Kluyveromyces lactis: one gene and its partner. The protein of the gene in region 1 purifies or fractionates together with the protein of each later gene. This does not show direct contact. Links are inferred from orthologs where the notes say so. Each region holds a gene or a part of one and is shown in the gene's direction. Other genes may lie near its edges.

Evidence for each region. Proteins that work in one complex are often made in the same cells at the same time.
Region 2: the proteins of PRE1 (region 1) and RPT3 purify together in Saccharomyces cerevisiae (affinity purification with mass spectrometry; 4 studies listed by BioGRID). This does not show direct contact. The link is inferred for Kluyveromyces lactis from reciprocal best matches to the Saccharomyces cerevisiae genes PRE1 and RPT3.

What each region holds. Positions count from the first base shown.
Region 1 is NC_006038.1:1,023,224-1,026,253, reverse strand, and holds PRE1 (proteasome core particle subunit beta 4), read left to right. Parts: upstream 1-1,401; coding exon 1,402-1,989; downstream 1,990-3,030. Other genes in the region: DNA primase subunit PRI1, read left to right, coding at 1-1,010; DEAH-box ATP-dependent RNA helicase PRP22, read left to right, coding at 2,328-3,030. UniProt on the Saccharomyces cerevisiae protein: Non-catalytic component of the proteasome which degrades poly-ubiquitinated proteins in the cytoplasm and in the nucleus. It is essential for the regulated turnover of proteins and for the removal of misfolded proteins.
Region 2 is NC_006039.1:570,624-574,662, forward strand, and holds RPT3 (proteasome regulatory particle base subunit RPT3), read left to right. Parts: upstream 1-1,595; coding exon 1,596-2,882; downstream 2,883-4,039. Other genes in the region: SHE9 (She9p), read left to right, coding at 1-1,187; SMP3 (glycosylphosphatidylinositol-alpha 1,2 mannosyltransferase), read right to left, coding at 2,972-4,039. UniProt on the Saccharomyces cerevisiae protein: The 26S proteasome is involved in the ATP-dependent degradation of ubiquitinated proteins. The regulatory (or ATPase) complex confers ATP dependency and substrate specificity to the 26S complex.

The sequences.
Region 1 (3,030 bases):
CAGATAGATTTGAGATCGGTGCAGTGTACAATAAACCGCCAAGGGAGCGCGACTCTTTACTTAAGACTGAGATGAAACCGATGGAGAAAGAATTAGTTTTCGATATCGATATGGATGATTATGATAGTTATAGAACATGTTGTTCTGGGGCACAAGTGTGTCCCAAGTGTTGGCACTTTATTAAATTAGCTATGAAAGTAATCAATTCATCTTTGGAAAATGATTTCGGTTTTGATGAGTTCATTTGGGTTTTCTCTGGTAGACGTGGTGCCCATTGTTGGATTAGTGACAAGAGAGCCAGGGTCATGACGGATTCTCATAGGAAGAACATGTTGGATTATATGAACGTGGTTAGGGATAGAAATATTGAGAAGAGATTGAATTTGGTTAGACCGCTGCATCCACATCTATCAAGATCTCTGGAGATTTTGAAACCTCATTTCGTTGAAATCATTCTAAGGGAACAAGACACTTGGAGAGATGATGAACTAGCGATAAAATCTTTGGCTACCAGTTGTCACGACAAACAGCTATCTGAGCAGCTAAAGAAACTATGGACCAACAAACCTGGAAGATCAAGTGAGGAAAAATGGAAGGACATGGATGTGATAGCGTCTCAGCTAATAAGTAGCTTTCCTAAACAGAGACAACACGATTATTTGCAGAGACTACGCGAGAGTAAAGAAGATATCATCATCCAAACGCTATACCCTAAATTAGATGTGGAAGTCACAAAACAAACCATCCATTTACTCAAGGCTCCATTCTGTATACATCCATCCACTGGTAACGTTTGTGTACCGATTACAGAAGAGTTCTCACCAGAAATGGCACCAAAACTTATAAAATTACAGAACGAAATGGATACTAACGATAATCAAGTGCAACGCACTTCACTACAACCGTACCTAGACATGTTCGGAAAGTATGTCAACAAGTTGGTCAAACAAGAATTATCCTCACAAAAGAGAGACCGTGAAGAAGATATCAAGTCGTCTATTGACTTCTGAATGCCTAATTCAGCTGTCTTGCATGATCAAGCACATATATACATATGTATATTTACAAATAAGAACAATACCTATTTATCGATACTACCTGAAACAAAACAGTAAAATAAAAAACATTCAACAAGTGTATTCTTAGTTACTATCACCCCACAATTGGCGCCTAGCTTGGGCTTCATTCCTGCGAATAAAACGCTTTGTCTGTTTCTCTCTCTGTGTATTGTCACCTTTCATACAGTGGAAAACCTTTAAATGATGTTTGAAAATGTTTAACTAAAATACAATTGACAAAAAGAACATACACTTACGGTGGCAAACCTTTATCAGGGAGGAAACAGGGAAATATAGGGTCTATCGACAGTGAAAAGAGTCAAAGTTTATACTAAATCTCCCAATGGATGTTCTATTAGGTATAAGAGTCAAGGATTCGGTGATATTGGCCTCTTCAAAGGCTGTAACTAGGGGTATTTCAATTTTGAAAGATTCAGATGACAAGACCAGACAATTACTCCCTCACACACTAATGTCGTTCTCTGGTGAAGCTGGTGATACAGTACAGTTTGCTGAATATATCCAGGCTAATATGCAATTGTATTTGATTAGAGAAAATTATGAATTGTCTCCTCATGCGGCATCGAGTTTTGTTAGAACAGAATTGGCTAAATCCCTAAGATCGAGGAAACCATTCCAAGTTAACGTATTAATCGGTGGTTATGATACCAAGAATGAGAAAGCAGAGTTGTACCAGATAGATTATCTAGGTACTAAGGTAGAATTACCATACGCTGCCCACGGTTACGCTGGTTTCTACACATTCTCTCTATTGGATCGTCATTACAGAGAGGATTTAACAGTAGATGAAGCCTTAGGTTTATTGAAGCAATGTGTACAAGAGCTAGAGCTAAGAATGCCAGTTGATTTCAAGGGGGTTATTGTAAAAATCGTGGATAAGGATGGTGTTAGGGTCGTTGACGACTTTTAGTGCAATCTTTCTAACCAGAATCAAGTACATACACATATTTACATCTTTTGTATAAACAAAACTCAAAGTAATATCTTATCTCAGAAATACCCAAGAGTCAAAAGCATTTTAAGTTTGGAGGTGTCGCTGGTAGATTAGCGTGTATCGATTTGTCTTCTCTCTCTTTTTGACGTTGATCAATATACAATTTTGAGATTTATTGACTTTATTGTAAACCATCTTATCTCATCTCATCTCAACAAAACATGAAAAAAAGGATAGGCAACATCACTGCAACAGCTTCGTCTGATCTGTCCTTTCTAGTACCTACCTAAGTTAAGGTTGCTGCTGCGAATAGCATGTCTGATGTCAAGAAGGAGATATGCAAAGTACTCGGTTTAGATGATGAGATAGTCGCTGATTTTATCATCAACATAAATAAGAACTGTACCACGAAGAATGAGTTTAAGAAAAAACTGTTGGAGATGGATCAGGATTTGAGTGCCGCTGTTGTGTCCGACATTTATGATGTGGTGAACAAGACTGCTGGAAGCACAGCAGCCACAAGGGTTAAGACTCTTCTTGCTGAGCAGCTTGATGTTCACGATGATGTTGTCACCAATTTCATTATGGACATTTGCAGTAAGAGCGAAACGTTGCTCAAATTCCGGGCAAAATTGAAAGAAATGGAGGCTGGTGTATCGGATAGTCTAGCTCTTCGTATTTTCAACATTGTTCATTCCTCAAATGTGGCTGTCAAAACGGAAATCGAGGATACAAAGTCTGCACTTTCCTTACCCAACACTACTGTTTCTTGGGAAGGAATCGAAGAAAAAGCTTCCAACAAATCAAGATTTAGGAAGAATGAAACGGTTGATCCAGAACCTGTGCTTGATAAAGTGTATCCTGGAAAGGTACAGAACGTCACAAAATTCGGATGTTTTGTGAGAATTTTTGGGGTAAGAAATACTAATGTCGACGGTCTTGTGCATGTATCGGAACTTAGTTCATCGCATGTTGATAAGCCAGAAGACGTGGTACACAGAAACCAAGATGTGTTCG
Region 2 (4,039 bases), on another chromosome or scaffold:
GGACACAGTATAATCCTCGAATCTTTTATTCAACCGGACCGAATACAAATTCCACATTAGTTGATACTTGGAAACAGAAGCTTGGTGCATACTGGGAGAAATCACAAAATAAGGCAAACGAGACAGCTAATAAACTTCGGGAATACTCAGTGAATTTCAAAACACAATGGGACAAAGCTCAAAAATCTTTAAAGGATGCGAACGAGAGATTGTCTCAGATGGAAAATGACAGTAACGATTCAAAATTGAACTATAACGCTGAAGGTAAGATCAAGGACCTACCTAGCGAAAGAGAACGACATCGTAAAAAATGGGCTCGCAAAATGGAACTGTATTTAGATTCATTGCAAGAGACCATATTCACAGCCACCAGAGCTTTGAATGACGTAACAGGATATTCCAGTATTCAGAAGTTAAGAAATACAATTTCCTCATTGGAAGAAGAGCTGAAGGACACTAAAAAACTTGTCAATGAAGCAAAGGAAAAGTACGAGACAGCTATAAAAGCAAGATCGGGATCGCAAAAGGAAGTTAATGAATTGTTGCAAAGAAAAAATTCGTGGTCTCCTACTGACCTTGATAGATTTACCCAACTATACAGAGATGACGCATTGAACTCTCAAACGGAAGAACAATCTAAGGTAAAACTCGCAGAACTTGAGGCTAAGGAGGAGGAACTTTCAACGAATTTGTACCGAGCCATTCTTACAAGGTATCACGAAGAACAAATCTGGTCAGATAAGATCAGAAGAACTTCGACATGGGGTACATTTATTTTGATGGGAGTAAATATACTCTTCTTCGTAATATTTCAATTACTGCTAGAACCTTGGAAGAGAAGGAGGTTAGTCGGTTCTTTCGAAGATAAGGTAAAAATGGCGCTTGATGATCATCAAAAGGAACAAAACTTGGCAATTTCAGAAATGTCAAATACCATAGACAATTTGATGGATAAAAAACTTCAAGAAACTCAAACAAAACCCCATCAGGAGGAAGTTCCCAAAATCCTCACATTTTCAAATATAGTTGCTGACTTTAAGATATGGTGTTCTTTACAGTGGACAATATACTATAATAAGTTGGTAACTCTTTTACCGGAGACAACCGTCACTTTCACCAAGAGTTGTTTCTACTCGTACTCCACACTACTTTTATCATTAGGTATACTATTAGGACACTGCATTTGAGTATACACAGGTGCATTGATATACGTAGTGGGTAGCCTATCATGTTAACATTCTAAACAGTGTAGGCCCTTCGAAAAAGTTGTCTAAGAACCGAGATCACGTGACTGCAAAATGGGTGGCAAAATACCCAAAATGAGATTTAACTTTTTAATGAAATAATGCAATTATTAAACTGAACGATTTGACATAACCACTTTAGTGTGGAAGGGGATACGTTTATAAATATATGTAGGTACAAACACATATATCCGTGTAAGTAGTAAGACTGACCCCTTAGTTTATTGGAATTGCAGTATATTATTGGAACTTTTCTGTGTTTTCGGATACTTTCGTCTTTATTTGATCATAGTCTAAAGGGAGTTAGAATATTTACACACTACGGGAAAGACGAATTAAGATCAAAACATTATGGAAGAACTAGGTATTAGTACTCCTCAACCTGTTCTTAGTGTAGAATTTGGTGCAAAGAATAATGGTCTATCATATGGTTCCCTACTTGCTCAGCTAAATAATGATTCATTTGCCGTGGCGAATGGTAATTCAGATGTCTACTTGAAACTAAAGAAGCTGGAGAAAGAATATGAATTATTGACATTACAAGAAGATTATATCAAAGATGAACAGCGCCATTTGAAGAGGGAATTACTCAGAGCCCAAGAGGAAGTGAAAAGAATCCAATCTGTGCCACTTGTCATTGGTCAATTTTTGGAACCGATTGACGAAAACACCGGTATCGTCTCCTCGACCACAGGTATGAGTTATGTCGTAAGGATTCTATCGACTCTAGATAGGGAACTGTTAAAACCATCAACTTCAGTTGCATTACATCGTCACTCTAATGCCCTTGTGGATATTTTACCACCTGATTCAGATTCTAGCATATCAATCATGGCCGCAAATGAAAAGCCAGATGTCACCTATGCCGATGTTGGTGGGTTAGACATGCAGAAGCAAGAAATAAGAGAAGCTGTTGAACTACCCTTGGTACAGGCGGATTTGTATCAACAGATTGGTATTGACCCACCAAGAGGGGTTTTACTTTATGGTCCTCCTGGTACTGGCAAAACTATGTTAGTTAAGGCCGTGGCAAACGCGACAGAAGCCGCATTCATCAGAGTGAACGGGTCAGAGTTTGTGCATAAATACTTAGGTGAAGGGCCAAGAATGGTTAGAGATGTTTTCAGATTGGCAAGAGAAAACTCACCATCAATTATTTTCATCGATGAAGTGGATTCCATCGCTACAAAACGTTTCGATGCTCAGACAGGGTCTGATCGTGAAGTCCAACGTATATTGATTGAGTTACTTACTCAAATGGATGGTTTTGATCAGTCAACAAATGTTAAAGTTATAATGGCAACCAATCGTGCTGATACTCTAGATCCAGCTTTGTTAAGACCTGGTAGATTAGACAGAAAGATCGAATTCCCTTCATTAAGGGACAGGCGTGAACGTCGTTTAATTTTTGGTACTATAGCTGCAAAGATGTCTTTAGCTCCTGAAGCAGATTTAGATTCTTTGATCATCAGAAATGATCCTTTATCTGGTGCTTTGATTGCCGCCATTATGCAAGAAGCTGGTCTAAGAGCTGTCAGAAAGAACAGATACGTCATCCTACAAAGCGATTTGGAGGAAGCGTATGCTTCACAAGTCAAGTCAGGTAGCGATGTTGATAAATTCGACTTCTATAAATAATTTAATTTAATTGTGTTTGACTCAATACATATCGGTAAATGCAGTGTATATTGGAAAGTATTCCTAATAGAAAATAAGCCAGTAATATTTCAAACTATTAGACTTACGTTGTATAGCCTTAATCCTGGCTTTATGGTAGTCCAGTCTGGCATATCAATGTGATCTAAATCGAGATGCTGCTGCGTCTCCCATTCTGTGATGAACTTCCATTGCGACTGAAGGGGGGTCAATTTATCGAGAACAGTATTTGGCATGATTAGCTGAATTGAGTCTGTGTTCTCCGAAAATTTTGTAAGAGTTTTATTTAGTAACTCAATGTCACTACCTTTTAAATCAACAACATGATTTGATACAACATGCCAAGGTATATTATCGACAAACTCTACATTTTCCTTAAAGTTCGTGGTAGAAACCGTCAGATCAGGATTGGAATACATCCACGTCGGAGGAGAATATGTCTTCCACCAAATATGAACAGGGAATTCTTCACCTGAGAAGTAGGATATGAGAGGTATTATTCCTGCTTGATGGAATACTCCCATTATCAATCCCATGACAATATTAAAGACGAGCCATGAAGTTATGATGGTTTCTGCTTGAAAGAAAGTATCGAAATTGTCAAGGTTCATCGATGCACAAAGTAATGGTAGAACCGGTATTATAAAGCGTAATTCCTGATGTCTGAAAAGAGAAAGCATTAATATGCCAGAAATACAAGATAATGCAGGCAGTTTAAGCACAGCTTTTTGTGAAATAAAGAGTAGGATAATGGGACCGCAAATAAGAGGTAAGTTGATTAAAAGGTGAGTATATCGTGGGTGTAACCCATGTTGAGCAATATTATCCACCTTCATATTGTAAAGCAGATTATTTAAGGGAGCAATGACCCAGCTTTTACAGTCTGTACTGCTATACGCCTTCGTATCGAACAATATGATGAGCGCAGAGACTAGTGCCGTACTAATGGCAGTATATGCCACCCCAATCCAGTGAGAGAGAAAGCAATGGTAGAACACAGATAACAAAGGTAAGATCAAATACGCAGGGAAAGTGACTCTGTTGAATGTGCCGATGGAAATCAATGCACCTAGCAAGAAACATGATGAGAAGGTTGCATAGTGCCGACTTCGTACCTCGTAAATGCAATATTGACAAGT